Linked DNA regions of Bombyx mori. The main gene of each other region encodes a partner of the protein of the gene in region 5 in a complex. Links are inferred from orthologs where the notes say so. Each region holds a gene or a part of one and is shown on either strand. Other genes may lie near its edges. The genes, in order: U4/U6.U5 tri-snRNP-associated protein 1, splicing factor 3B subunit 5, BUD13 homolog, splicing factor 3B subunit 2, small nuclear ribonucleoprotein Sm D3, G-patch domain and KOW motifs-containing protein and protein CWC15 homolog.

What was found.
Region 1: small nuclear ribonucleoprotein Sm D3 (region 5) and U4/U6.U5 tri-snRNP-associated protein 1 share a complex: the UniProt entries of both Homo sapiens proteins name them as parts of the U4/U6-U5 tri-snRNP complex. The link is inferred for Bombyx mori from reciprocal best matches to the Homo sapiens genes SNRPD3 and SART1.
Region 2: small nuclear ribonucleoprotein Sm D3 (region 5) and splicing factor 3B subunit 5 share a complex: the UniProt entries of both Homo sapiens proteins name them as parts of the minor spliceosome. The link is inferred for Bombyx mori from reciprocal best matches to the Homo sapiens genes SNRPD3 and SF3B5.
Region 3: small nuclear ribonucleoprotein Sm D3 (region 5) and BUD13 homolog share a complex: the UniProt entries of both Homo sapiens proteins name them as parts of the minor spliceosome. The link is inferred for Bombyx mori from reciprocal best matches to the Homo sapiens genes SNRPD3 and BUD13.
Region 4: small nuclear ribonucleoprotein Sm D3 (region 5) and splicing factor 3B subunit 2 share a complex: the UniProt entries of both Homo sapiens proteins name them as parts of the minor spliceosome. The link is inferred for Bombyx mori from reciprocal best matches to the Homo sapiens genes SNRPD3 and SF3B2.
Region 6: small nuclear ribonucleoprotein Sm D3 (region 5) and G-patch domain and KOW motifs-containing protein share a complex: the UniProt entries of both Homo sapiens proteins name them as parts of the minor spliceosome. The link is inferred for Bombyx mori from reciprocal best matches to the Homo sapiens genes SNRPD3 and GPKOW.
Region 7: small nuclear ribonucleoprotein Sm D3 (region 5) and protein CWC15 homolog share a complex: the UniProt entries of both Homo sapiens proteins name them as parts of the minor spliceosome. The link is inferred for Bombyx mori from reciprocal best matches to the Homo sapiens genes SNRPD3 and CWC15.

The regions. Positions count from the first base shown.
Region 1 is NC_085118.1:17,268,551-17,272,267, forward strand, and holds part of U4/U6.U5 tri-snRNP-associated protein 1, read left to right. Parts: intron 1-107; coding exon 108-259; intron 260-791; coding exon 792-924; intron 925-1,115; coding exon 1,116-1,221; intron 1,222-1,356; coding exon 1,357-1,488; intron 1,489-1,748; coding exon 1,749-1,862; intron 1,863-1,945; coding exon 1,946-2,146; intron 2,147-2,251; coding exon 2,252-2,371; intron 2,372-2,443; coding exon 2,444-2,531; intron 2,532-2,844; coding exon 2,845-2,975; intron 2,976-3,189; coding exon 3,190-3,330; intron 3,331-3,577; coding exon 3,578-3,671; intron 3,672-3,717. UniProt on the Homo sapiens protein: Plays a role in mRNA splicing as a component of the U4/U6-U5 tri-snRNP, one of the building blocks of the spliceosome. May also bind to DNA.
Region 2 is NC_085126.1:5,965,244-5,968,764, forward strand, and holds splicing factor 3B subunit 5, read right to left. Parts: upstream 1,595-3,521; 5' UTR 1,435-1,594; intron 1,330-1,434; 5' UTR 1,324-1,329; coding exon 1,066-1,323; 3' UTR 987-1,065; downstream 1-986. Other genes in the region: uncharacterized protein LOC101736097, read left to right, coding at 3,034-3,180. UniProt on the Homo sapiens protein: Component of the 17S U2 SnRNP complex of the spliceosome, a large ribonucleoprotein complex that removes introns from transcribed pre-mRNAs.
Region 3 is NC_085130.1:5,574,546-5,577,973, reverse strand, and holds the end of BUD13 homolog, read right to left. Parts: intron 2,809-3,428; coding exon 2,624-2,808; intron 2,134-2,623; coding exon 1,961-2,133; 3' UTR 943-1,960; downstream 1-942. UniProt on the Homo sapiens protein: Involved in pre-mRNA splicing as component of the activated spliceosome. As a component of the minor spliceosome, involved in the splicing of U12-type introns in pre-mRNAs.
Region 4 is NC_085131.1:3,905,749-3,910,428, forward strand, and holds part of splicing factor 3B subunit 2, read left to right. Parts: intron 1-392; coding exon 393-523; intron 524-1,065; coding exon 1,066-1,217; intron 1,218-2,010; coding exon 2,011-2,203; intron 2,204-2,498; coding exon 2,499-2,708; intron 2,709-3,009; coding exon 3,010-3,212; intron 3,213-3,961; coding exon 3,962-4,112; intron 4,113-4,680. UniProt on the Homo sapiens protein: Component of the 17S U2 SnRNP complex of the spliceosome, a large ribonucleoprotein complex that removes introns from transcribed pre-mRNAs.
Region 5 is NC_085122.1:327,768-333,196, reverse strand, and holds small nuclear ribonucleoprotein Sm D3, read left to right. Parts: upstream 1-1,786; 5' UTR 1,787-1,974; coding exon 1,975-2,284; intron 2,285-3,395; coding exon 3,396-3,478; 3' UTR 3,479-4,404; downstream 4,405-5,429. UniProt on the Homo sapiens protein: Plays a role in pre-mRNA splicing as a core component of the spliceosomal U1, U2, U4 and U5 small nuclear ribonucleoproteins (snRNPs), the building blocks of the spliceosome.
Region 6 is NC_085127.1:6,320,250-6,324,929, forward strand, and holds the end of G-patch domain and KOW motifs-containing protein, read right to left. Parts: intron 2,306-4,680; coding exon 2,173-2,305; intron 1,068-2,172; coding exon of another isoform or gene 997-1,067; exon of another isoform or gene 996-996; intron 905-995; coding exon 444-904; 3' UTR 415-443; downstream 1-414. UniProt on the Homo sapiens protein: RNA-binding protein involved in pre-mRNA splicing. As a component of the minor spliceosome, involved in the splicing of U12-type introns in pre-mRNAs.
Region 7 is NC_085110.1:8,227,923-8,232,766, reverse strand, and holds the end of protein CWC15 homolog, read left to right. Parts: 5' UTR 1-296; coding exon 297-427; intron 428-683; coding exon 684-963; intron 964-1,179; coding exon 1,180-1,284; intron 1,285-3,304; coding exon 3,305-3,442; 3' UTR 3,443-3,653; downstream 3,654-4,844. Other genes in the region: protein 60A, read left to right, coding at 4,234-4,603. UniProt on the Homo sapiens protein: Involved in pre-mRNA splicing as component of the spliceosome. Component of the PRP19-CDC5L complex that forms an integral part of the spliceosome and is required for activating pre-mRNA splicing.

The DNA.
Region 1 (3,717 bases), on a different chromosome or scaffold from region 5:
TTTGATGGGTAACATAAGTATTATTATAATTATAATTCCACTGGGTAGGTTTGTTAGCTTATCTATCTTGAAATTACATTACGAACTATTTTTATTACTTTTTATAGGGACAAGAGTGTTGAGTATGAACGTGAGAAAACCAAGTCTCCAGTACAAACACAGAGTGGTGGAGCACAAGAGAGCTTGTCCATTGAAGAGACCAATCGTCTACGAGCTAAACTTGGACTTAAACCACTTGAAGTCAATGAGAAACCTGCTGGTTTGTAATGTAGTTTTATCGCTTTTGTAATGTTTTTTTTTTATTGTGTTAATATATTGTATTTTATTTAATGTACAGACTATATCACGCATAACGAATTTGATGTGTTATCTTTGCCAACAATAAATAAACAAAATAAAATTCAAATTTTTTGCCATTTTATATGTTTTTAGTCATTATTTTACACAAATTGTTCAGGTTAATATTTTCATAAGATAAATTTAATAGGTATATTATAGCAAAATTACCCACTGCTTACAAACTTTTAAATAGATTGATCTGTATCTGTCTATGTAGTGGAATTAATTACAAGTGTCAAGCCCCAACAAATAAATAATTTCACTTAGGAACTTTAAATTCTTTTTTATTGCGTTGATAAATTAACGTATTATATTAAAGTCATTAACAAATCAACATCAAGGTACATATAGCTTTTATTAATATTGTGTTCACAGTTGTCTTCCGACCGCGATCACTAACTAAAACTTGCTGTTTAAGTGTGAGTTCTACTATGGTTTTAATCCATTCACAGATGATGGTAAATTCAAAGATGACCTTGGCGAGTTCTACCATAAGCCGGCTACTAATATCACTGAACAGAAGAAAACAGAAAAACTCAAAGAGAAAATAAAAGAGCGAAAGGAGAAGAGGAATATTGAAGAGAAGTATGAAATACTATATTTTTGTTCCATTGATTGGCTTGAATTTTTTGATATTATTGTAATAAACGATAAAATATTACATTATATTGAGGAATAAGTACTGTTTGAATAAATGATCATCATAATAAGAACCAAATGAAATAAACTGGAAATTAATAAAAAAAAATTGTAATATAATGCATAATTTCATTTAGATTACAGACTACCCTACTCGGTGAAGGGTCTGACGATGATGACGCGTCGGCCTGGGTGAAGCGCTCCAGAGCAATAGAGACGCAGAAGAAAGAAGCTGCAAAAAGGGTGAGCATACAATAAATGCATTTTTTAGCTGCTGAGAACAAAAATCAAAAATCAATAGTTTTATCAGTTTAGATCCATGACCTAAACACCACAGAGACAACATAAGATATTAATGTGAAGCATGTGTGTACGCAGGCGGCCATGCTGGACGAGATGGACGCGGCGTTCGGCGTGTCCGCCCTGCTGCCCCCCCGCGCGCCCCCCGCGCCCGCCCCCTACCGCGCGCCCAGCCTGCGGGGGCTGCGGGTCGCGCACCAGCTCGATGCGGTACTCACACCTTCCCACCCCCCATATATTAATGGGAATACCAGCAGGCTATTTGATTTTGTGGTCATCCAAAAAATTTAATAAAATGCGAAATAATTTAGTTCTGTACTAATCACAGGTTGGTTTAAACTTTGAGCATTTCAATCACGCGTTGATTATTTTCGTTTCACGATTTCTAATCTCGTGGCGACCACACGTGTTAGTTCTAAATACTACATGAAACAAAAAAATCTGTATTAATAGATCTATAATCTGTACAGTTGGAAGATGAACGTGAAACCATTCTAACGTTGGCTGATAAAGAAATATTAGCTGAAGACCCAGAGGATGTGCTCATCAATGTCAATATTGTTGACAACGAGCGATACAAGAAGGTAAGATAACTGTTTTTACTATTTTACTTACATACATCAGTCAGTGAAAGACCATAATAAATGATATAATGGGTTTTGTTCAGAACGTGGAAGAACGCAAGAAGGCGCGCGCCGGCTACCAGGCTTACGACGAGGAGGCCGAGCTGCAGGCCTCCCTCGGCTTCCGACGCTCCGTCCTCTCCAAGTACGACGAGCAGATCCAGCCCGACCAACTCGATAAGGACAAGGGCTTCGTCATAGGGGACGAAGCCTCTCTCGACGCTCACAGGCGCAGAGAGCTCTTGGTGAGGCCCGCGTCACGTCGCATCACGCCGCGTCACGCCACGCAGCGTCACGTCACGCCGCGTCACGTCACGTGGCGGTGCGTTAACGTAACTGTGTATGTGCAGCTCGCGCAAGGCCCCGCCTCTCGCCGCATGGAGTCGCTTGCGCTGCCGCAGCCGCAGCTCGCAGCCGACTACATGGACCAGCACGAGATCCAAGCCAAGTTCAAGAAGACTAAGAGAAAGGTCAGTGGCCCCGCTCGTCGAGCGTCGCGCCGGCGCGGGCGGACCCGTGTGTACGTGTGTGTTTGTGTGCAGGGCAAGATGCGGACCAAGCCCAAGGACGAGCCCATCGACGCGGACACCTACGACGCCGCCGCCGCGCCACTCGACACCGACGACACAGGTCTGACGCGTCCTCCAGTCTTATATATATGTAGTAGTTTAATCTCACGTTTGCATGATCATCATATTATTTCAGCCCCGTTTCGAATAGTTTGTCGCCGCTGTGTCGGCGCGCCCTGCTCGTCCGCATTTAATGAATTATTAAAGTTCTTATAAAAACTCGATACATAACATACATATTTTTTTATAATTTACATAATTCTGATTATTTCAAACTTTACAACAATCCTGTTCCTTATCGACCTAAAAATGTAAGTAAAAGCGGGCTGTGCCCTAAAAACTAGTTATCAATCGACCTGTCGTCCCCTCCGCAGACGTGCGGGCGGGGGCCGCGGCGCTGGTGGTGGACGAGGAGGAGACGGAGCCCGACACCGAGCTGCACGCCGCGCTGGCCAGGGCGCGCCGCCTCAGGCTCAAGGAGGTGCAAGATGCCGCTGTGCCTAAGGTATCTTATATATTTCATAGATTCAAAGGTTCACTGGTAATAATATAATCGCATTTGAATGTCATTAAAAAAAATATTTATTAGATAAACAACTGTCGATAGTAAAATGTTTGCCGTGAAGGGTCACCTGCTACACCCGCCTGACTCTATTTTTTGTTGTACTGAGTGCCTGATGTCGTAAATAGGTTTAGTTCTAAAACTTGGTTCGGTTCAGGTGGAAGAACTCCTGGAGCGCGTGAAGGAGGAGCAGGTGGAGGCGGGGCCGGAGGGCATGCTGTTCGACGCCACCGCAGAGTTCTGCCGGACCCTCGGGGAAGCCCCGGCGTACTTCGCCAAGCAGAACCCGCACTCGCCGGTGAGTGCTGCCCAAGGGACGCTGCGGACAGCCGGCCGGACGATACATGCGTGGCCGTCATAAGCTTCCCCAATTTTTGTAACTGAAACGCATGACAGTTTCCTGTGCTTCCCCGTGCGGGCTCACGAGACGTCTCCAGCTGAATTTACACGATCTCGTTGTATCGTTTTCTCGTATTACATTTATTTGCTTCAATACAAAAATCATGATCACACATCACAACTTCATTCTAATTGGTGACGCACAGGAACACAACCCGGACATGGACGTGGAGGAGGCGGCCTCCGGGGCCTGGAGCAGGGTGGACGTTGACAGCGAGAAGCCGGCCGACCTTAAAGCGGGTAACTGTCGGCACGTCCAGGCCGACTCTTAATTAGTGCACCTTAA
Region 2 (3,521 bases), on a different chromosome or scaffold from region 5:
ACATACATAATAAAAATATCAAAAAGAAGCTTTCAATATTTTAATAAGCATATGCATGATTAAAATACTCCCAGGTTATTTAAAGAATCTCTTAAATTACTTTATATTTAAACTACAGTCAAAACCGTTTACTGCGACATCGTTTAGAACAACATGCCGGTTATAACAACCTAGAACAAAGGTCCCGGCTGAATGCCATATGACCGCCTTATTAAAAATATTGCTTTCTACGACATTGGTAATAACGACATACCTCATAAAACGACCACATTTAACTAATATTTTGGAGAATTAGATCTGTTAGAACGACCGGCTAAGCTATATTGTAAACAATTTGAATAGGTATCCACATTTGTCTTCAATGGCTATTAAAATCAGGAAAGAAAACAATAGGATTTAGTTTAGTGTAGGGTCTTTTCTAATTCTTAGAAACAAAACACGTGCATGCAGTAGAGTCAAAGACCGCTTCTTCATATCTCTTCAGTTAGTTTATTACTTATCTATACATAAAACGCACCAAAACTTTGTGGAGTTATTCGTGAAACTTTGAAAATGTCGCAAAGAAAAAGAAAACAAATTAATATTGAAGAAAAATCACGTATTTTGTAAATATATTTTTCCAATAATTCCCTATCGATTTGTTTGTACTTGCACGATACACATTAAACATTACCGGTTGTTACGACTATCGGTTTTTACGACTGAATATGAGCAGTCCCTTCGATGTCGTTATAACAGATTTTGACTGTATATATATAAGGCTAAATGGAAATCAAAACTGATTTCTTTGAGATAAAACAATATGAAACAAGTTTGTATATAAAAATAAGATTGTCAAACATTTGACCATTGAACCAATTCTAAACTATAAACTATACCTGTTATTAAAATTTGTAGTTTTTATTGATAATAGTTGAGTTTTTGGTGGTACTATTTGAATAGACTAATTGTGTTTGTTAAAGGTTATAGAAATGAAAACAAACTGCTCGAATTTATGTCATGATAAGGGATTCAAAGTCAAATAATAAGTAAATTAGCTTAATTCTATTTTTAAAATCGAAGCGTTTAATCTTCAGGCTTTTCTGGCGGTGGGCCGCATGGTTGAAGCATTCGTTCCATCAAATTGAATTTTACGCGCGCTTTAGATTCATTTTCTACGATCGCAAAGTAACTCAACAAATCCGGATGACCCATGTAACTGCAGCAAGAGTCGCGATGTTGGTTCATAAGCCATTCATATTTTGTAGTGTCGGCGTGGCCTGTGCCTATATATTTGCTCTGTAGATGTTCAAGTTGACTGTGAATGTTGTATCTTTCACCCATTTTATTCTGTAAATTATTTTAAGGTTATAGTTCGAGTTAGTAATGTCATTAATGTAAAATTAAATGGTTATAAAATAAATAAAACGTTTCTAATAAAATATACACACTTACTTTAAAGGCAAGATGCTTGTTGAAATCGTATAGACTCTAAAGTTTATATTCTAATTCAGCTAATATTGATATCACGTAGCAGCCCAAAACAAAGAGTATTCATAGACAATACATAAATTGCAGTGCAGATTACTGCAGACACGGCGTATCTAAACCATAGATACAATACTTAACGTTGAAATCTAAACACCAAAGGTTGTGCACAGTTTTTTTTATTATTTCTTTCACTGCATCTTTCACAGTAAGTTCTTAGATCTGTTTACATATCATCTGGTTTTGAAATAAGCTTTCATCTTTTAACGAAGCTTGGGAAGAGCCCCGGCAGTGGAATTAGTCTTAGTCTATGCTTCTGACGTTGACGTTCATCAGAGACGATCGCCACTTATTATTAAGTGGGACAGATACTCGTTTGCCGATAATGCTGACCAAAACAGTTGAGTACAGCTGTGTTGTCACATTTTCCTATACTTGTGGACTTTTAGAGATACTAAACGGTTACAATTTTTCATTAATAGCACGTTTCAACAAACAAAAAAACAGTAAGTTAACAAAATTAACTATTAACTACACTTCTACAGCTCACGCAACAAAGTTATTAAAGCAAAGAGGTTAATAAAAGATAAAATAAAAAGTAAAAAAAGGTAAAGGAAGGATAGAAGTCGTCGTGGTCTAACGGATAGGACGTCCAGTGCATTCGTGTTGAGCGATGCACCGGTGTTCGAATCTCAGGAGGGTACCAATTTTTCTAATGAAATACATACTAAACAAATGTTCACGATTGACTTCCACGGTGAAGGAATAACATCGTGTAATAAAAATGAACCCCGCAAAATTATATTTTGCGTAATTACTGGTGGCAGGACCTCTTGTGAGTCCGCGCGGGTGGGGACCACCACCCTGCCTATTTCTGCCGTGAAGCAGTAATGCGTTTCGGTTTGAAGGGTGGGGCAGCCGTTGTAACTAAACTTGAGACCTTAGAACTTACTATATCTCAAGGTGGGTGGCGCATTTACGTTGTGGATGTCTATGGGCTCCAGTAACCACTTAACACCAGGTGGGCTGTGAGCTCGTCCACCCACCAAAGCAATAAAAAAAAACCCGTGAGATATACATAATTACAACCACGCTAGATCAGCTGCATCTATCATGGAATCTTAAGCTCATCATCATCATCATCATCATCATCAACAGCCCACAGTCGTCCACTGCTGGACATAAGCCTCTCCCAATCCACACCACTGAGCCCGGTCTGCGGTTCTCCTCATCCACTTATCTTAAGCTCACAGGTATTTTAATTAAGTGTATTTTCTATGCTCACAGTTACATATCAACTTAGAGTACTTACAAAGTACACTCTAGGGTACGTTGATATCGTCGTATTTCTAAACTCTTTGGTATGTTGTTATGTTGATTAATTGATCAATTTAAAACCAGTTGCCATAGAAAATACACTACCGTGTTTATTCAATATTTTTGATAAACTTAATAACCAGAAGCCAGTCATTACTGAGAGAGTTGTTTTTATCAAGATATACATTTCGTAATTCTGTTCGCCTTTAAATATTCTCTATTCAGAATTATTGTTATTTCTGACAAGTTATGAGCAAATTACCGAAAGAAACAGAGCTTAAAGAAAGTGAAAAAAATATTCGCAAACAAGCAAAGCAAATTGTAGAGCGAAAATATTCAAATGTTTTCAAAAGACCAACACATTTATTCATGCACGAAAAAAACATCTCCAATATCGTAAGTATTTCTTGATTTTCTGCCCTGTGTTTGTGTTTTTATGTGCATAGTGCCATGAGTGATAGGTATTAAATAAGACAATAATAATAATTGGGACTGATTGTTCACGGCAGGAATAGGTAGATTGATTATACCTACAAATGTGGGTTTCGAATATACCGAATAATCCATGCAATGAGTAAGTTTTTTTATTTTTTTATTGCTTAGATGGGTGGACGAGCTCACAGCCCATCTGGTGTTAAGTGGTTACTGGAGCCCATAGACATCCACGACGTAAATGCGCCACCCACCTTGAGATATAAGTTCTAAGGTCTCAGGTATAGTTACAACGGCTGCCCCAC
Region 3 (3,428 bases), on a different chromosome or scaffold from region 5:
AAAAGTAATATATTTGTGTTTATTTATTTTTTAATATTAATATCAATTTACTGCAATAAAACATTTGTAAATCTAAATACAGATTTATATATTAACTTTGATAGTAACTTTTATATAAATTCTCAGTAAAAATAATCTTTTATCGCTAACATATTTGTTATAATTTTTATTAGAAAATTAGAATCGTTATCTACAGACAAGTATCAAAAATTTATCTATGTGTATTTAATTGTTACTTTTAATTTAATATCTACCACAAATCTATGTTAAATGTAAGAGTATATCAATTTGAAATCTTCCATGAAAAAACATAAGTGTTAATAATGTGTAGAACCTTATGTTAAGATGCATTAATAGAGTGACCCATTTGATCTTTTAGGTATTAGTAGTAATAACATTTTCTTATTTAAATAAACTGCATTGCATTTTGAGTAGCATTTGGTTTTATTTTATCTTAAACTGGTGTTAATTATTAATTTACGGTAGGCAGCGACTTGGCTCTGTCCCTGACATTGCTGAAGTCCATGGGCGACGGTAACCGCTCACCATCAGGTGGGCCGTATCGCCTGCCTACACTGGCCATAAAAAAAAGAAAGAAATAATCGGTTTGGAACTATGTATATATTTATTTATTAAACTTCATGTAAACTTTACATTGGCGGACTTAATGCCCAAGACATTCTCTACCAGTCAACCAAAGGTAGGTGCAGAGTAAATAATCTTGTGAATCCGCGCGGGTAGGTACCACCGCCCTGCCTATTTCTGCCGTGAAGCAGTAATGCGTTTCGGTTTGAAGGGCGGGGTAGCCGTTGTAACTATACTGGCCTACTGGAAGAGATTTCAACATGAAATAAGTAGTGCCCATGTACTCTGTATCCTTATTGTCGTGTTTCTTCTAACAGCTGTGTGTACAAAATATATTAAATAAATAAAACTCTGGGCTTAGTCCAAAATATAATTCATATCATTAATACAATATTTACATCAATAAAAACAAAATATACATTATGTATGTACTAACATTCCATAATTGAACAAATAATTTGTAACAATATAAACATCTTGTTGGTGAGCTCAAGGCTCAACTGATGTAAAGTGATTACCGGAGTTTATGGACATAATGAGAATGCCACCACCTGCCTTGAGACGTGAAGTCCAGTCTCATTGGTATTGTATGACTGCTGCTAACATTAGAATCTGAACACATGACGATTTGTGACGGAAATGGACGGAGGACTACAAAATAGCATTTTGACGGGTGAAAAGCTATTTAGTTTCAAGTGATATTTTAGCAACTTCACAGGAGAGCCATTACAAGTTTAATATTTGAAAGAAACTCTGAATGACATGACAAAAAAACTTCTACAGCTATTTTAATGAAGTAAACATAAATTTGAATTAGAAATAGTGTAAGAAAAAATGATTTTAAAAAAAACCTTGGGGTGCTTGGTATCAGTGGTTATAAATATTTTATGAATAGATATGAATAGAAGGGTTATTTTGATAATATCCTAAAAAGGACCAAACGCTTTTTTTTTTACAATAAAATAATTTTTTCTTACACTATTTCTAATTCAAATTTATTTTCTATTTTTTAGCTGGATTTTCTATAAAAGCGTATTTTGTTAGTTTTTTTTACACTATTATTGATTCAATTTGATCACAGACTTTAAACAATAACAAAAGTTTGACAATTGACAACAAACAAAGAGTATAGAGATATATGTATATGTTGTGTGTCAAACACATGGTAGTGTGTGTAATGTTTTTTTTATTGATTTAATGTATTTTTACATTTATTTCATTTTATCATTTTAAATAGAATATTTTTCAGGTATTTCAACTTTAAATTAGTCTACTGAAAAGTTCACGCATTGTCGCTTAGTCACGTTTCCCTTTCAAGCGTCGAAATATACTTTGAACTATATTTTCTTTTAACTAGCTAGTAACCACCTCGCCGTTACAAGTCCTCGGTACTCCACTTATAAGCTTCCTCCTCTTGAGCTTGCCTCTTGCTCTGTTGTTCGAAGAACTTCTTCTCGTAGCCGTTGGATCTGTCGACGCCGTCCCACCGGTAGCCGGGTCTCAGGTTGAAGCGGTTCGGAGGGAAATTACCTTTATATTTTGGGCGTTCTGCGAAAACAAAAAAAAAATACCAATAAAATATATTTTTTCATCTGATGATGGTGTTGTCAGTTACTCAAAATAAACTCCACAAATATGAGAAAAAGTTCTCATATTTGTGGAGCAATCTCAAGACTATATTTGATAGTCTACTAAACTACTATACTGCTACTACTATATACATATATCTTCTCTTACCCCCCACTGGACGGGGAATTCTAGTTTGGAACCCCACTGTCATGAGTGATTTATTCCTGATCATTTATTTATTTAACTAATTTAATTATAGGTACAGTGTAATAATTTATTAACATGTATAATATTTAAATATAGATCGTTTTAAGCATAATTTTAACTTAAGAATTGTAATTTTAAGAATCGATTACTCAAAAAAATAAAACTCATACAAATCTAAATAATAGTCATTTTTGTAATATATTATGTACATATATTAAAAATAGTTCAGTGAACTATGTTATTTAATACAAAAGTACATTACCTGGTGGTAAATTTCCTTCCTCTCTCTTCCTGTCCTGTATGTATTTGAGCATCGGATCTCCTGCCCTCTCTATCTGCTTGAGTCTGTTCTCCGAGTCTGCATCGTCCCGGTGTCGGGCCAGAGGTTTTGAGGCCTCATGCATGAAATCCTGAAGCCGTTCCTCTTGAGCTTCCAATTGTTTCAACCTGCAATTTACATACAGAGCTTTTATTATGAGAACAAACCTTTTATTTATTTATTTATTTATGTACACACAAAAAAGAAAACATAGTACAGAGTAATAGGAAAATTATGTACAAAGGCACTGCTTATTTCTTTAAGAAATCTCTTCCAGCAGACCTGCGAGAGGATTATGAGAATAATAATTAAAAGTGATGAGCGTGTGTAGGACAGCTAAAATAACAAATACAACATGAGAATTATAGTAATGCACATACACATAGCAAATATTAAATTTTAGCAAATATTTTACTAAATCGTGAAGGGAAAATTAATAATATTGAAGGGTGAAAGGGTATTTGTTTAAGAGACATTTTTGAAATATTACAAGAGAGCGATTTAATGTTTAGAATTTGGAAAAAATATCATAACAAAAAACTTCTTCGGCTATTTGTTTTTTTTTTATTGCCCAAGTAGACAGACAAGCATACATCCCACCTGATGGTGAGTGGTTACCATCGCTCATGGGCATCAGCAATGCCAAGGGCAGAGCCAAGCTGCTGCCTACCGCTTAAGTGGGGTAAACTTAATTGAAGTTCAATTAAAAACATTGAACTGTTGATGCTAATACTAATTAAAACGCACC
Region 4 (4,680 bases), on a different chromosome or scaffold from region 5:
CTACATTGGCAAACAAGCACTTTACTTTGAGTTCTATTTTGTAAAAAAGGGTCAGTTATAAAGTTATATATTTTGTATATAAAATAGCACACTTACCTTGTTGGTGGTGGTAGGACCTCTTGTGAGTTCGCATGGGTAGGTACCACCACCCTGCCTATTTCTGCTGTGAAGCAGTAATGCGTTTCGGTTTGAAGGGTGGGGCAGCTGTTGTAACTATACGTGAGACCTTAGAACTTATATCTCAAGGTGGGTGGCGCATTTACGTTGTAGATGTCTATGGGCTCTAGTAACCACTTAACACTAGGTCGGCTGTGAGATCGTGCACCCATCTAAGCAATAAAAAAAATAGCACATTAAACAGTACCTTATAATGATGTTTTGCCCCTATACAGATGTGCAAAAAGACATGGAAGCACCGCCAGCTCCAGTGATCAGTACGGAGTATGACGTGGAAGAGGATGAACAGTCAGACGATGAAAACATTCCTGATCCACCGATGCCACCAGTAATTTCCAAACAAGAGGTACTTTTTATTAAAGTATATATTAGTTATCAGCAAGCAAAATAACCTTAAAAAAAAAATAGGATACATATTTCATTGAGTTAGAAATATTGAAATGCCCTTATTTTTCAGGTGTGAACGATAAACACTAGATATCATATTATTCATATGATATCAAACATATTACTCTCTAAGCTTATGATCTGAATATTGTTGCATACAAGCAAGTTTACTTTGAAAACCGGAAGGATATTTCTTACATTTCCTATTCTTTTATAGATACTGTTTATGTACAGTCTGACTAAAAATATTGTGTAGAAAAAAAACAAAATAAAAGATATACATTTAATCTCTAACTCTCTTAAAATCTTTTGTAAGTATAAGCAAAGACCCAGACTTTATAATCCAAAAACCATAAACTCAATGATCGTAAATACTATTGTGTATATGAAAATTCATCATCGTATTCATAATATTGATTTAAGTATTTTTTTAAAACATGTTACTTGCGTTACAAGATTAAGAAATAAAGATTTTATTTAATTCTCATTTTACTTCCTCAGTCCCAAGCTAGCAAATCCAATAAAAACAAAAGAAAGAAAAAGAAAAAGAAGCTGGCTAAACAGAAACGCAATGAAGAGTCTAAGACAAAGAACAACGCACAAGAAGAAAAGAGATCCAGTGACAAAGAAAATGAAAAAGAAGCAGATATTGAGTGAGTGTAAAAAAGCTTTTATATTTTAAATTGCACTATAAGATTTTATTTTCTGTTACCGTTTACTGAAAACCACTTTTTGTTCACTTGTGTCATTTCAATTATTCTGACCGCGACTTGCTCTCTGCTTAACGTTAAACTTTTTTGGTAAATAATAATAAAATAATTGCGTTAGAATATGGTTTCATTTGACAAGCGCGTATAGAAATCAGTAGCTGAAGTCGTCGTGACCTAAAGGAAAAGATGTCCGGTGACCGCCCGGTGAAGATCGTGTTGAGTGATGCACCGATTTTCGAATCCCAGGCGGCTACCAATTTTTCTAATGAGATACGTACTCAACAAATGTTCACGATTGACTTCCACGGTGAAGGAATAACATCGTGTAATAAAAATCAAACCCACAAAATTATAATTTGCGTAATTACTGGTGGTAGGACCTCTTGTGAGTCCGCGCGGTTAGATACCATTACCCTGTTTATTTCTGCCGTGAAGCAGTAATGCGTTTCGGTTTGAAGGATGGGCAGCCGCTGTAACTATACTTGAGGCCTTAGAAATTATATCTCAAGGTGGGGGGCGCATTTGCGTCGTAGATGTCTATGGGCTTCAGTAACCACTTAACACCAGGTGATCTGTGAGCTCGTCCACACACCTAAGCAATAAATAAATAAAAGCTTGCTTAAGTTATAGTTGGGAATGGTCCAAAAGTATCCTTCAATATCTCAAATTTCGTACCATCCAATTTTGGATAGTTTAACTTACATATTAAATACTTATTTAAAAAATAATTAACCAGATACGTGCAAGAAAACATACAGTTTCATGAAATGGAACCAATGTACCGTCAGTTCCATCGGATACTGGAAGCATTTAAAATTTCGGAGAAAAAGGAAGAGACGATCAAAGATGAGGGTATGGATGCTCCAAAACCAACAAAACATCAGGATAAAGTGCAAGACCAGTTCGCAGCGGATGATGAGGCAGCTGAGGTATGTAAATAACCAAATTCATCTTAAAATTACCAACTTTACATACATAACGATAAATTAAGTCATAAAAACATAAAAACTTTCTAATAAATTTGTTCCACTTTTGGATTTAACAACATTTTACACTACACTGCAATTACTGTACTAACACTACCTTTGACAGCAACTTTGAAATGCCAATACATACATCAGAATTTTAATTGACGATTCAATAAAAATATTAAATTTAATTAAAATTTTCACGAACCTTTCACATAACTGCTAGCAAACTACTGTATTGTATAAATGTTCTCAGAAAAACGCAGCCGACGAAAAGGAGCGCCTATCAAAACGCAAACTAAAAAAATTGTCGCGTTTGTCAGTGGCCGAACTGAAGCAGCTAGTGGCTCGACCCGACGTCGTGGAAATGTACGACGTGACCGCGCGGGATCCCAAACTACTTGTCCAGCTAAAGGCACACAGGAACACTGTCCAAGTACCCAGACATTGGTGTTACAAGAGGAAGGTGAGTAGGATAAAAGAAACGCTATCAAAACTAATTTAACTAAAACTAAATAGACTCCAGAAAACAGGTAGAAAGATTTTCATGTTGCCACAGCTTGAATAGGTAAACAAATTTTCTGATTTGCATTTAATTGTTACAGACACAGAAACAAAGAATTAAATATTAAAATTAGAATATATATTTGTTATTCAGTTTTTTGTATTCGTTAATATGTTTTTATTCATAGTACTAAAAATAGTTCCATCTTAGAGTAATATTGTTAGGGAAAAACAAAAAAAAACAATATGTTCTTATATTGCAGTACTTGCAAGGAAAACGCGGTATAGAAAAACCTCCCTTCGATCTACCGGACTTTATAAAGAAGACAGGAATCATGGAAATGAGAGCATCGCTGCAGGACAAAGAAGAGACTAAAACCCTTAAAGCGAAGATGAGGGAACGTTCTAGACCGAAATTGGGCAAGATCGATATTGACTACCAGAAATTGCATGATGCCTTTTTCAAGTGAGTTAAATTATCTGAGAATAATTTGAATAGTACTTTTGTCTTTGTCAGTTTCAACAATTTGAAAGTGTGAAGTTAGCCATTTATAATTAATTTCTAGCTTAAACTATCACACCTGGTTAGTATTTATATCTGGATAAACACTGACATGGTAAGCCGACTTGCTATCCACACCGGTCTCCCTAGAATTCGGATAATAAAGCTAAATACACTTTAAAACATTAGTGTAGCTTCTCCCTGCATATCTTAAATTTTTTCGTATTGGATCAGAAAAACATTCTGGTCTCATATACACCAGTGTAAGAACTGGTCCGTTTTACCTCAGGACAGGCTCAGAAGTGAAACATGAATTCTACATGAGAAATGGTAAGTTATGAATCTTTTGTTTTTTATAGTCTACTGCAACCATAATTAATACACACTGCTCTAGAGAACACGGGTTGCTCGTTGATATTACTATAATATTTTTAATTTTTTTTTATTGCTTAGATGGGTGGACGAGCTCACAGCTCACCTGGTATTAAGTGGTTACCGCAGCCGATAGACATCTACAACGTAAATGCCCCACCCACCTTGAGATATGAGTTCTAAGATCTCAGTATAGTTACAACGGCTGCCCCGCCCTTCAAATCGAAACGCATTACTGCTTCACGGCAGAAATAGGCAGGGCGATGGTACCTACCCGCGCGGACTCAAAATAATATAATATACTCAGATCATATTTGATTCTCATATTGTTGTATTTATAGATGGCAAACAAAACCGCGTATGACAATCCACGGAGATCTGTACTACGAAGGCAAAGAGTTCGAGACTCGTCTGCGCGAGAAGAAGCCCGGAGATCTGTCCGAGGAACTGAGAACTGCTCTCGGTATGCCCGTCGGGCCCGGCTCACAGAAGGTATCGTTAACGTGAACATGTCAATGATGTTGTCGGATTGTTGTGGATTTTTGTTTAAAGGATTTTATGACGTGGGTGGGTACTAAGACCTTTAGGTTATGTCTTATTTTAATTTATATTCTTATTTTTATGAAAAATGATAATATAGAGTGAAATGAAATAAAGATGATTGATTTGAGACGTAAAAAAAACTGGGATGAAATAAAATTAAATGAGGTGAAATATAATCTCTCTTTTGAAGTCGTCGTGGCCTAACGGATAAGACGTTCGGTGCATTCGTGTTGAGCGATGAACCGATGTTCGAATCTCAGGCGAGTACCAATTTTTCTAATGAAATACGTACTCAACAAATGTTCACGATTGACTTCCACGGTGAAGGAATAATATCGTGTAATAAAAATGAAACCCGCAACGGCTTTGTTTCATTTTCCTACATTTGTGCACTTTCACATATATTAAACAGTTAATAAACTACTGTTATTACACATTTAAACATGAAGAAACACTAAATAGACAAAATAAAACAAAACACACAACTTCACTCCTCGCGTTCCCGCCAAAAAGTCTC
Region 5 (5,429 bases):
ATCTCGTCGAGGTCCAGTTTCTTTCATGTATTCAGATAATGGCACTAATTTTGTTGGCGCAAAGGCTCAGTTAAAAACTTCTAGTATAAACTTCTAGTTTCAAATAATTTTATATCCGCATGGAATGATGAATTAACTAAATACCGAATCATTTGGAAGATGATCCCGCCTCGGGCTCCACATTTTGGAGGTTTATGGGAATCAAACATTAAATCCGTTAAAACTCATTTAAATAGAGTAATAGGCGCACAAATTCTCACTTACGAAGAGATGTTAACTGTGTTGAATCAAATAGAATGTCTTATGAATTCCAGACCTTTATGTCTTTTATCCGCAGATCCCAACCCCGAAATTCTCACACCCGCACATTTTTTGATGTCCACTCCTTTGCAGTATTTACCCGCGTCTGAATTGTCCGCAAATCAGATGAGTCTGACTAATCGCAAAGCGTTGTTAGATGGTTTGGTTAATTCCTATTGGAGGAAATGGAGATTAGAGTACCTGCATACGTTGCAAGTCAGACAGAAGTGGTGTACATCAGATAACCCCGTGAAGGTTGGGACAGTAGTTCTTATTCATCAAGATGACATTCCACCGCTCCGCTGGCCACTTGGAGTTATACAAGAGGTGTATCCAGGTGCCGATAACATTATACGCGTTGCTTTGGTAAAAACGAAATCTGGATTTCTTAAACGTCCAGTTGTAAAATTATATCCGCTACCGCTAGAATAAATTAGAGTACCGCATGTCATCAACCGCTTCAACTCTACTCGTAAACATTCATGATGGCTTATTATTAATTAAAATTTGTTTCTTTTCAAATAACTTCCCGCTATTTAAGCTTTATGCTTCCTATCTTAGTATCTTTATATATTTGTTGAAAGTCCTGCGAACTTTCAAGGCGGGCAGGATGGTCACGCGGATTTAGTAATGGGATGCTAATGAATTATTGGGATGGCGCCACCTTTGGAGTTTGTCAGTAACTAATTACCGCGACTACCCAAAGCGTGGTTCTACCCGATCGATCACGCTTTACCGCTAGCTGCCTAGATGGCGGCACTTGTATATTGTGTGGTGCTTGAGCTTACGAAAAGCTACGTGAGCTTCGTCACCCCCTCCCGCCGCCCGCGTGCTTCCATCGCCGACGCCCGCACGACAGTCACTGGCAAGATCTACAGGTGAGTGCAAGTTCTTTTAATTTATTGCCATTTTATTGCTGCTTCGTGTAATCATTCGCCCGCCCGCTCGCTTATGTGTATTTAATTTATATCTTTAGTTTGATTACTAGCTTTTGTTTACCGCTATATAGTTTTACCGCTCCGCTAATTATAAGTGACAAACATTTGTCACATACCGCTTAGGACGGCTATTTACACGCCTTTCTACAACCCCGCTTTATATGCTCCCGCCGCAGGAGGGCTATTTACACGCCCCCTTGCTACCCCAAGCATAAAGCCTAAGCACCTAGCTTTTTTTACAAATGAAACTAGGTCTATTAGGCTATGTACAGTGAAATGTAATTTATTTAGAAAAATGGTTGGAATTAACTAAGATTACATTTAACTTTTTGCAAAATCTCAATAGTTATACCCTGCGATGCTCTTGCATTTTCAAACCGAAAGGTAGTACTACTTTACGGCAGGAATAGGTAGGGTAGTGTTGTCTGCCTCTGTGGACTCGCAGACATCCTACCATTCCTACCACCAGTAAAGTTGATTTTCACAATGCTAAGGGAATTAAAAATCATAATGGATTTTTGGTAATATGGGTTATGTTGTCTTTGTCTGTCAATGAATGAATAAAAATGTCTATTGTCTATGCACGGAACTCGCCGCCATATTACATTAGATGTCTATGGATTTGAAGCGTCTAATTTTTTTGAAATATTCTTTCCCATTTTTATCGTAAATAATCTAAGAAATAATACTGAATTATTGTCCTTTATCGTACGTTTTTCTTAACTAAAACGTAAACATGTCTATCGGTGTGCCTATTAAAGTACTTCACGAGGCGGAAGGTCATGTAGTGACTTGTGAAACAAATACCGGTGAAGTTTATAGAGGGAAATTAATTGAAGCTGAGGATAATATGAATTGCCAAATGACTCTCGTAACAGTCACATACAGAGATGGCCGAGTTGCACAGCTCGAGAATGTGTACATCCGTGGTTCCAAGATCAGATTTTTAATATTACCGGACATGTTGAAGAACGCGCCAATGTTCAAAAGACAAGGGAATAAACCTACTGCAGGACGAGGGAAGAGTGCGATACTGCGAGCCCAAGGTATTGAACAATATAAAAATAGTGTGTATGTGATTTGTTTATCGAGCTAGGTATCCTAAATGTTCTCTCGCATCACATACGTAGTGATTGTGTTCATTATCAACAAGACAACATACGAGTGTTAATATATGAATGAGTGCTGTCTGACTTGCAGTCTAATTACATCTAGCACTGAAATTGTGAATATGCATTGTTCTTAATTTCGTTTAATTCAAAGACTTAAAAAAGAATAAACATCTTTAGCTTAGAACAACCCATTTCTTTAGGCTTGTTATAAATTAGACTTGAGTGAAGTCTATTTAACAATTACTGCACTATATAACCAAATTATTAAACGAAAATTTCTAAGTAGAAAACGTATGCAAGTATGAAAGATAAGCACATTTAATTACAATCAATAAATAGCCTTCATTAAAATTAGTACAAATGCATTGAATACATAGTGATCAATTGGGTCAAATGAGCAAAAAATAGGTAGTTTGAAGCTTTGATTTTTTAAATGTCTTGTTTGTTTATATCCTGTATAGATATTTTTTGTCACAGTTTTTTAATAGTAATTGAGAATATTTTACAATTTTTCATTCTTGAGTGCTTATATAGACATACAATGTCAAATTTGCAATTTTAAGTTTTGTAATATCAAATCAGTATTTTGTTCCAATGTTAATTGTTTCTAATCATTCAACTATATGTTATTGACAATTTTACTTTGGGTGGTTAAAGAAAATATGTGAATGATGAGACCATGTCAAGTACCTAATGCACACAATCTCACACATCTAAAGTAAAACCTATTTTACATAATGTTATGCAAACTAATAACTGTATCTATTACATTTGTGAAAACCCATTCTTGTGTATTTAAATAATTACGGCAAATTTCTGTTGCTAAACAGGAATGTGAATTGATTTGACGGGCTGGACAGTAACTACAATACATTTGAGCGATCAAATATATGTATCTCTTCATACTCATCTCAAGTATCATGCCAACCAGCATCCTTATTTTGATGTTTGTGGGCCACAGTAAATCATTAATCAAGTGGGTTGTAAGCTTACTCACACATCTAGAGGAATCAAGAAGTAAAATACAAATCTTTGAAATTTTCAGCTGCTGGTCGAGGACGAGCAGGTGGAAGAGGTGGGGGCCACCGTGGAGGCTGGCAAGGTGGGTCAGGACCATCTCGACGCTAGCGTTAAGATATTTTTTAGATAGCTTAAGTTGTACTTGTCTTATATTTCAATTGTCAAGGAATTATTTCATTATCATTCTTATATATTGATATATCTAAGTGAGAAAAATACAAATTTTGGAAATAGAACAACTGTTTGTTCAAAGATTATTATTATGTTCTCAAATGTAACAATAAGGTCCTGTTCCAGATTTTCTGTTTTTTTATTTTGGTCACCCTTCAATCTGCTTTACACATCTTAGGTCTCATGGACCATTTGATCAAATAGACACTACACACTGATGCTACCCTATGGTGACTTATTGTGACTCCCAATCAATACAATGTTTAATCTCTATGTTCTATCCTTATATCAGTCCCAATAATCTAGAAATCTTGTCCATATGATGGGTAATAGTTCAATCTTGTTTTGGCTTGAGGAAATATCTATGTGTGGTTTATGCGGGGGTGACTATTGTAATTAAATATAAAAAGTTATTATAAACTGCCTTGTACAAACCAAACTTAACCAATGGCCGAGTTTTGACAATGTTTTATCCATATAATTTTGAATTTTTTTGCACTGTAACTGGAGCCTATAGACTTTATGAAGGCCTGCACCTACCATGAGGTTTGAGATCAAAGTCCCAGTTGTACTGTTTGGGATAAATGCTGTCTTAATGGGCAAATTGGAATGCTTCGCAGCATAAAACCTGCAACAATCATGCATGTTTGTTAAATGTGTGTAACTCGGCATCTTATCCTTTAGGACACGACAACCTCTTATGCAAAATATTTTTAATTTGAATGTTTTATGTTCGAATTTAGATTAGTTACAAACAGTGTAACAAGTTTACTGAGACTGTCAGCAGATATGTGATAGGATGTGTCGTTGTGGGTGTGAATATCAAAAGATTGAAAACAAATAAAAAACAATTTGGATAATAACTAGTGTTTTTATTTATGAGACACGCAGTGTCAACTAACTATAATTATTATTAGTCAAATTCCACTGGCCACTACTGCTTCTGAGATAGTATAATAATAGAAGTCATGACGGCTTCACTGTACAGACGCACAGGACAGTGGTGTCTAACCATACAAGCTCACACTGCACATCAGCACCTCAGCACCAGCTGTTGCAGAGCTGTCCAATTTTAGTTACACATTCCCCTCCGCTTCTATTGAATCTAATACGCAATAGGAACCGTGGTGGTGGGCTGGTGGAATGCAGCTTTAAACAGATGGGTGCTGAATCAGCCACTTTGTTGAAAGATTTGTCTGTTAATCTTTTTTTTTATTTTTTTATTGCCTTTGTAGGCAGACGAGCATACGGCCCACCTGATGGTGAGTGGTTACCGTCGCCCAATACGGCCCACCTGATGGTGAGTGGTTACCGTCGCCCATGGACTTCAGCAATGCCAAGGGCAGAGCCAAGCCGCTGCCTACCGCAAAATCAGTTAATCTTGAGTGATCACAGGGTACAGTAACCAGTAAAGTAAATAATGGTTAAAGTTACATGAAGTTGATGGCCCCACTCGCCAAGATAAAATATATACAATAATGCATGTTCGCTGATGTGTAAGTTGCGATACTGTTGCGGTAGGAAATTTCGATGGCCACAAAAATCGAGCGTTCCTAGTTATATTTCTCAACTTTAATATAATTTACAAAATATTTTTAAAACATCAATTGTATCATCAAAGTTGTCAAACCCTTCTTATGTCTACCCGATATTTCAAACTAGTAACAGTTAAAAATATTAGTTCAATCATTTTAAGAGAAAGTCAATGGTTTATATTGATTTTAATTTAACACATTATTTTGTTAAAGCATTAGCGCCATGGCGCGATAATATATCGCAACACGTCCTATTTATACATCCTAATATTATTGATACAAAAGTGTTTGCCCTTCTTTCACGACAAAAAGAAGCAACGAAATGATATGATTTTTTTAAAGTGATAATTGTA
Region 6 (4,680 bases), on a different chromosome or scaffold from region 5:
AGACAAGAAATTATCTGAAATTAAATTTCAGAGGAAGGAAAAGGTGTTTACTTGTCGGAATTTGAAAGATGTTTTTCCAAAGTCTCTATTGTGGGGGCCCTCCTCTAAATCTGGTCCAGAGGTCAAACTTCTCATTTCTGGACATTAAATAATATGGTATTGAAAATAAATGAGGTACATCTAAATGTAAGGCAATTAAGGCAGACAATTTTAATGATAGATTTATACCTATGTATAGACGTAGTTGAGAATATTAGATAAAAAAAATGGAATCAGAATCACAACTTTGCGGTTTTTTTCCTGACTGAACTTTTAAGCAGCTCGAGATTCAAGGGTTCTGAGATTAAACCGGTTAGTTTCAATTCTAAAGGGCCTTTTTCGGTCAAAACAAGAAGCGGAAAATAAAAAAATAAAAATGATGAAGATTGTAATTCATTTAAAGCTTATTTTCTATGTTTTTTATAATTCGGTGAACGATCCCTGTCTCTTTTCTTCTTTTTTCCCTTCCTCTTCTTATCGATATCTCGTTTGCCGTCCGGTGTAGCGCTACCTTTATTCTTTTTATATTCATCTTCAGAATCCACGCTTCTTTCACGCTTTTTCTTGTCTTTCTTCCTCCGCCTCCTCTCATCCTCTGATTGAGAACTTAAAGATTCGTTGCTGCTGTATCTTTTTTTGTGCTTCTTTTTCTTCTGAGATCTCTCTTCACCGGTGCTTGACGAGTCTCTCCTATGTCTATCCTCTTTTCTATTTTTACCATTTGACCAATCTTCTCTTTCACGCCTGTCGGTATGTTCATACTTTTCTTTCTTCGTTTCTCTTTTAGGTGAACTCTCTATATCTTTTTCTTTTGACGATTGAGGAACTTTTTCATCTTTCTTGTATTTTTCGTACTTGTCTGCATCTATAAATATTTACATTTTTTTATATTTACTAAGTGTATTGCTCTTGCAAAAAAAAAACAAATTTACATGTGAATGGTCCAAGTATTGTACCTTACAGGCCCCTCCGCGGAGAAAATACATTTAAATTAAACTTCACATTGTGAGAGAGTTCTTCAATAGAACCTGTGAAAAAAATCGTAATTAGGTTACAATACTTGGACATTTAGCCGATTATTGTAACTCAATTGAAAAATAAATGTAGAACTTATAATATATATAGATGAATCAGACCAAGCACAATTTATATATACAATTGTGATTTGAGTGTCATGACAAGACAATACTAGCCTAACAGGTGGTCACAACAGACTTCAACACTTTTATATTGTGTAATGAAACTAAATTCCCAAAATTTATAAAATTCCTTCCTTCTACAAAGTATTTTATTTTTTATTGCTTAGATTGGTGGACGAGCTCACTGCTCACCTGATGTTAGGTGATTACCAGACCCCATAGACATCTACAACGTAAATGCCGCCACCCACCTTGAGACATGAGTTCTATGGTCTCAGTATAGATACAACGGCTGCCACACCCTTCAAACCGAAACGCATTACTGCTTCACGGCAGAAATAGGCGGGGTGGTTACCTACCCGCGCGGACTCACAAGAGGTCCTACCACCAGTATTTACGCATTCTGGTTTACAGTTTGGTTATAGGCGTTCTTCAATGGTGACTTTGGTCTTATATCTTAAGATGACTGCTTTCACGCTGTGAAGCACTGCAACTTATTAAAACCAGACGGTTTATAAGCTTCACGGCTGTTTTAAACAAAATTTGTTTACATAATTTGTAACACACAAAATATTGTGTAACACACAATTTGTTGTTCACAAAATATTGTGAACAGATGGACCTGATTTTTTTTAATTGCCTTTGTAGACAGGCGTGCATTAGACCCACCTGATGATGAGTAATTACCGTCGCCCATGGACGTCAGCAATGCCAGGGGCAGAGCCAAACCACTACCTACCGTTAAGTATTCTTCACAAGTAGTAAATAGTCAAATTAGAAAGGAATATGGTGGCCTATAAAAAGTTTATAGTTGTCTAAGACTGACCAGATAAGGGCTACAAGAAATTGCTTCCTGCACATAAGGCACCAGACACAGGTAACTGACAGAAGTGTCACCGGATAAAACCCATCACTAAACACACAACGGTCACGACCATTCTGCCAAGAGATCAGAGACAAGGAGGACAGATGTAAATGAAAAAAAATTAAGTACTTATAACTTTGGATTCCTTGTCGAATTCGGACTTTGTGACCGGATGCATCATGAACTCGCTTAGATTGACAGTTTCATTTTTCATCACTATATTGACCATAGCTCTGCCGTTGTCTTCATCGAGGCTAAGCACCTGAAATGTTTTTGAAAATTGTATGACAAAAGGTGAGGTATCTTTATACATATCCTATAGGAGTTAGCATAGGAAACTAACGGCCGTCCGGTGTAGTGGTAAGTGACATGGTCACTACACAAGGGGGTCGCGGGTTCGAATCCCGCCAAGGGAAGATATTTGTATGGTAAATATAAATGTATTTTCCAGGGTTATGGATGTATATTAAATATATGTATGTGTATAATAAAAAATCTTACATTTATTTCCGTTATATGGACTTAACTCCGTTAACTTGTAACACAAGTTCTTTACGAACTTATCACCAGTTAACGTGGCGTGATTGTCAGTAAATATTTATATTTATTTATTTAACTCATTTTTTTGCCTTTGTAGGTCAATTTTTTGCCTGCCAGTTATTGGTCACAGTCACTCAAGGACATCAGCAACGCCAGTACTATAGCTAAGCAGCTGCCTACCGCAAATGACTTTCCTTAAAACTTTTTTTGAAGAATGTCATGTCGTAGCAATTAGAAACACAGTGGAGGGGACTTTATTCCAGAGTAATATGAGCCAGAAGGTACATGGCAAAAAGATCTCTGAAACAATCTGCTCCAGTCGCGAGCGGTGCAATGGTAAAAAGATGAAATGTGTGCTCGGAGTGCTCCTTATTATAACTAGTCAGGTCATAAGTATTGTCACACAGTAAAAACTTTTCTTTTAGAATGCTGGCCACAAAAAAGTTTATTGAATTCGAATTTCGAATTGTTCATGAAAATAAAAATGTATACTTTTAGAATTTTACTCATTTTTAAATATGGAGTGGACGCTTAAAGAAGACCGTGTTGCAGTTATTGCGTTGCATCGTTGCGGTTACGCGCCAATTCAAATTTTTAACATACTGAAAAATTTGAATATAACCAAAAGATTCGTTTATCGTACCATCAAACGATACAATGAAGACTCTAGTGTCGATGACAGGTCAAGAAGTGGTCGCCCTCGGTCTGTTAGGACTCCAGCAGTGATAAAAGCTGTGAAGGCGCGAATTCAAAGAAATCCCAAACGTAAGTAGAAACTGTTGGCCCTTCAGATGGGGTTAAGCAGAACCACGGTGAAAAGGGTGTTAAATGAAGACTTAGGGCTTCGGGCATATCGAAGAAAAACAGGACATCGTTTGAATGCTCGTCTAATGGACCTGAGACTGAAGAGATGCCGCGCTTTGTTGAAGCGGTACGCGGGAAAAAAATATCGGGAAATTGTTTTTTCGGATGAAAAAATTTTTACCGTAGAAGAGAGCTACAACAAACAAAATGATAAGGTGTACGCACACAGTAGTGAAGAAGCGAGCAACCGTATTCCGCGTGTCCAACGAGGTCATTTTCCATCCTCGCTCTTGATATGGTTGGGAGTTTCTTAATGGGGATTAACAGAGGTACATTTTTGTGAGAAAGGTGTAAAAACGAATGCAGTTGTGTATCAAAATACAGTCCTGACGAACCTTGTGGAACCTGTTTCTCATACCATGTTCAATAACAGGCACTGGGTATTCCAACAAGATTCGGCGCCAGCTCATAGAGCGAAGAGCACACAAGACTGGCTGGCGGCGCGTGAAATCGACTTCATCCGGCACGAAGACTGGCCCTCCTCCAGTCCAGATTTGAATCCGTTAGATTACAAGATATGGCAACACTTGGAGGAAAAGGCGTGCTCAAAGCCTCATCCCAATTTGGAGTCACGCAAGACATCCTTGATTAAGGCAGCCGCCGATATTGACATGAACCTCGTTCGTGCTGCGATAGACGACTGGCCGCGCAGATTGAAGGCCTGTATTCAAAATCACGGAGGTCATTTTGAATAAACTTTAGTGTCATAAGAATCTATGTTTTGTTAAGTTCATTTTGGTATATGAATGGTTACGTAATGAATAAACTTTTTTCAATTATTTTACATTAAACATGTGACAGAATTTATGACCTGACTAGGTACATACATAACAGAATACAAAGAAAAGTGGAGTCCCTTTATTTGGAGGCCTATTTGATATTATTGGAGTCCCTCTATTTGACTCTGGAGACCCAGAGGTTACAGATAGTCAGTGAGAACGAGATTATCGACGATATTTGTACAGCGTTGCCTATCCACAATATCTGTCCAATAGTTTGTTGTTGTTGGTATAATTTCCACACATTTCATAAAGTTATTGAAATCGTCAAATATAGTAATATAATAATAAGATACTCAATTCCTTGCAAGATAAGGTTAAACTAACAAACAAACAAAGTAAACATTTACTGTAGACCATTTTTACTTTTTCATAATAGTGTTTTTGAAAGAGTTGATTCAAACAGCTTGTATTTTTGCCTACATACATATGCATACATCAGTCGGAAGTATGT
Region 7 (4,844 bases), on a different chromosome or scaffold from region 5:
ATTATTAAATTCGATTCTGCTTAAATACACAAGTCTGTGAATGATGTTATTAAATTCAATGTTTTAAGTTGTCTTAATTTGAACTCACTTAAATCGACAAAGAGATAATTAATAGGTAGTACTTGATACCAATTTCTGTAAATAACCACTCTGCAATAAAAGTACTATTGCATGTTTACAAACCTACCTACTGTTATGCTAAATGTCTCTGACATCATCTAGAGTTTTTTGAATGTATACAAGCACAATAGCAAGACATAAAATCACCGTTCATCAAGTCAGCACCAGCGTTCATTATGACTACAGCTGCTAGACCCACTTTTGATCCTGCAAGAGGTGGTCAAGGCCGAGGAGAGAAAGACTTAAGTGCTATTTCTCGACAGTATTCCAGCAGAGATCTTCCTGGTCATACGAAACTTAAATACAGGTTAGTTTAGTTTTATTTCTCGATCTAAATTTGGATTCCTATTCGCGAAGTTGGACTTACGACCCGCGTGGTGGTAAGTGCTTAACGGACCTCATAAAAAGCCATCTTGAGACAAGGTAGAGTACTTGAATTATTGTTTTAGAAAATACGCTACCCTTCAAAACCACAATGTATAACTCGTTCAAAGCATAAATACCACGTTTGTAATGCACCAAAATGTAAAGAAAAAGTCAAATATTAAAATCTATTTTAATAGGGAATCAGGTCAAGGGACATCTGAGGAATTACGCTCTCGTGATTTTCGTAAGGAGTTGGATGATAGAGAAAAAGATGTTAAAACTACGACTACAAAACGTACAAGTGAACCACAAGCAAAAAGAACTAAGGTTGATCAAGTTCCTGCAGCAAGTCTTGATGCTGATGATCCTCTTGAAGGCGATTCCACTGACTCTGATGATTCAGATGATGATACTGCTGCATTGCTAGCAGAATTAAACAGAATTAAGAAGGAAAGGGCCATTGAACAAGCTAAAAAAGTAAGATATATCTTAGATACTAGAGTTAGATACTATACTATAAGACTATTTTTGTACTGATGTACACAAAGTATGTTTAAATTAAATTTTACAATATATATTTTTTTTAATTTGTCTAACTTTAGTGTACTTTAGTGTATTTTGATACCCAAACTAAATAAAATTCAAATAACAAATAAACCTTGTTGCACAAATCAATTTTGTTTTACCTTATAGGAAGCTGAAAAGAAACAAGAAGAGGAAAGAATTAGAATGGAGAACATATTATCGGGTAATCCTTTACTCAACTACTCCGCTGCAGGACAGAAGAATGACATGAAGGTAATTAAAAACATTAAAATGAATTTTGTTTTAACTCCTGATAACTGTTTGGTGATTGAACTGAACTGCAGATGTCATTGATGTTGTATTTATCAATGTTGAAGTAATTGTGCCCTAAAAGATAAAGACTCCCGGTGCATTTGTATAAAGCTATGTGACTGTGCCGGTGCTCTCATCCTGCAGACAGGTACCAATGGTAATGAAATATATACTTAACGTAAATTGACAAATGATTTCCATCATGAACAAATAGTGTTTAATAAAGATCGAACCCACCAAAATTATAATTTGCTTAATGAATGGCAGTAGAATGGGGTAGTAATGTGTTTTCGTTTGGTATAAAATCTGATATTTAGAACTCATGTCTCATAGTGGGTGACAACATTTAAGATGTCGATTTCTATGGGCCATGAACTTAATTCACCCATCAAAGGAATAAAAAAAGTGTAGATGACCTTTAGTTTCTGCAGTGGGTAGGTATTCATTTGTTGTAGTACAAGTTCTTCATTCTGGCTAGTCAGTTTCATGATACTACATTATTAAATTACACATTGACCAGGATTATCTTGATAAATAATTTAAATGCATCTTTTAATTGGCATTTGTTGTTTTGCTGGTGTTTTGTTTTTGTTATTTTGTTATTCCATAGTAACAATACTATCTGTGTTTTACTTTTTTTATGGCATATTTATGTGTTTGTATGTTTATGTATGTGTTGTATGTTTCTGTTCTGGTACACTATGGTACTTTTCAAATCTGTTTCAAGATATTATTTTTCATTCTTCCAAGTATGTCTAGCATTGTCTTTTTGGTGTTAAGTGGTTATAAACTTGGGTCTCACTTAGATTATAATTATTCAGAGCTTTTGTTGTGTATTGGTATTTTAGATATCCTTGCCATATGATAATAATATGATGTGTATTGAAACATGTGCAAATAATATTCAATCAGTATCTGTTTTGATATCTCATTGGTGAAGTATACTGACAACTACCAGATAACCCTTTTATACCAGGTTGGCCATAAGTTTGTTCACCTATCTATGCTATAAAAATAACTATTAAAACGTATTGTTGCTATTGTTTTCGGTTTACTTGTATTTGAATCAATATCATTGATACTCCACAGGGAATACTTTAATAATGCACAAAAAAATTATTTTTCCTTTCATTATGCATATGTAGCGGCAGATATTGAGGATTCAAGACTATTAAATAATTTCATTTAGACTTTGGTTGATTCATTATTTTACATTTTCGGTTCTATAAACACTGGTTGCTGTTTTGACACCACAGGGACTGTGATTTTGTACACCCACTAATAAATACCATACAAAAATGCAAAAGTAATTGAAAGTGATTTTAAGAACATTAACATAATCTGCTCAAGCATTGGATGAATCCGGTATTGGAACGCCCAGAGGCACCACTCAGCACAACTCGTCATTAGGCCTCTACATGATATCATTAGAGAGAGACTGACTGAGTTATGAGAGTCACAACCTTCATCTATGAGGGTCGATTAAGAAGAATTTAAGAAGTCGTCGTGGCCTAAAGGATAACTCATTCGGTGCATTCATGTTGAGCGATGCACCGGTGTTCGAATCCCAGGCGGGTACCAATTTTTCTAATGAAATACGTACTCAATAAATATTCTCGATTGACTTCCACGGTGAAGGAATAACATCGTGTAATAAAAATCAAACCTGCAAATTTTAATTTGCGTAACGACTTGTGGTAGGATCTCTTGTGAGTACGCGCGGGTAGGTACCATCCCCTAGCCTATTTCTGCCGTGAAGCAGTAATGCATTCCGGTTTGAAGGGCGGGGCAGCCGTTGTAACTATACTTGAGACCTGAGAACTTATATCTCAAGGTGGGTGGCGCATTTACGTCGTAGATGTCTATGGGCTGCAATAACAACTTAACACCAGGTGGGCTGTGAGCTCGTACACCCATTTATGCAAATAAAAAAAAAGGACAATCGTAATATTATATCTATATTTTTTTTGGGTTGTTCCAGGTAAAAAGAAGATGGGATGATGACGTTGTTTTCAAAAATTGCGCTCGTTCTGAACCGGAAAAGAAACCTAATACTTTTATAAATGACTCATTAAGATCAGAGTTCCATAAGAAATTTATGGAAAAGTACGTGAAATAGTAAATCATTATTGATATTGTAATTCTAAATTTAAAGTTGTTAAAAGCGATTCTATACCTTATTGTAAGCGGAATAGTGATAACGAAGTGGAAATGCTACTATGGATATTACAAACACGTAAAGAAAAGATTGACGAAAACCAATATAATTTTAGTAAATATTATGAAAAAAATGTCATTTTGTTGTTTTGAATAAATTATATGAAAACAAATAGTATTTTATAAAGTTTATTTTCAAGTTAATGTCACGTTACTGATAAAAAGTAATGTTTGTTTCCTCAACAACAGATAGAGGTCAGTTCATTAGCATAATGTGTCTAATTTACTCATATAACAACGAACATTGCTTTCGGGTTCGAAATTTGAGACTCAACTTCTGAGTTTCAGTGGTAAAAATCTTGGTAGTTGGGGTATCCAAACTAAATTAGGGAAGGTATTAAAGAGATTAATTTACAAAAAATTCAAACTTACTGCCCCGATTTGATAATCAATACGCCACCCGTTAAAGTACATAACTGCATTGTTAATGGTAGTAATAAATAATTATTAAATTAACTTATTAACATTCGGAGTTCGGACTGACCAGACTGACGTGTCCGGCGAAGTTGAATGTTTTTATTATTGCGGCGTTGTGAGTGAGGCGTGAGAGGGGAGGCAGTGGTAAGTGCGGAGCAGGCGGCGGCGGCCTACCTTGAGTGGGCAGGTCCACAGCTAGATCCCGCGGCTGGCCATGACGCGTCTCACATCTCGTTAACTCGCCACTAGCCAGTCGCAGACGCTCTCACAACGAATATGGCTGGTTTTGTGCAGTTGGTGTGTGCGTGTTTTGCATTGTTTACTGTGGTCACCGATGCCATACTTTCCGGACTTTACATTGACAATGGTGTTGATCAGACGATAATTCATCATACGATTACACGACACGAGCGCATGGTAGTAGAACATGAAATTTTAGATCTTTTAGGCTTAGGAGAAAGACCCAGAAGATCTAAATCTCCACCTTTGGATCGTTCGGCTCCAAGTTTCCTGTTGGACGTTTATAAGCAACTGGCTGAGGAGCACGAACAGGCACGCCCTACACGTAGTTCTGACATGGCTCTCAGCGGTGATGAGCAGCAAGCTATTGATGAAAGTGATTTAATTATGACTTTTCAAAGCAAAAGTAAGTTATTTTTTGTTTTCATTGCTATTTTATGTTAATTAAAATTTGTTTTCACCATATTACAATAACGAAAACAATATACGTAGGTATGTGAACATAATACTATGCAATGGTTTATTTACCTTTTTTTTTATTTACTTGCCATGCCGAGCCGCCCTAGCAGTACTTACTTCGAATGGCATAGTTCGTAAAATTATTAGAAACCCACGTTAAGTATCAGCAATAAAACTATATTACTGAA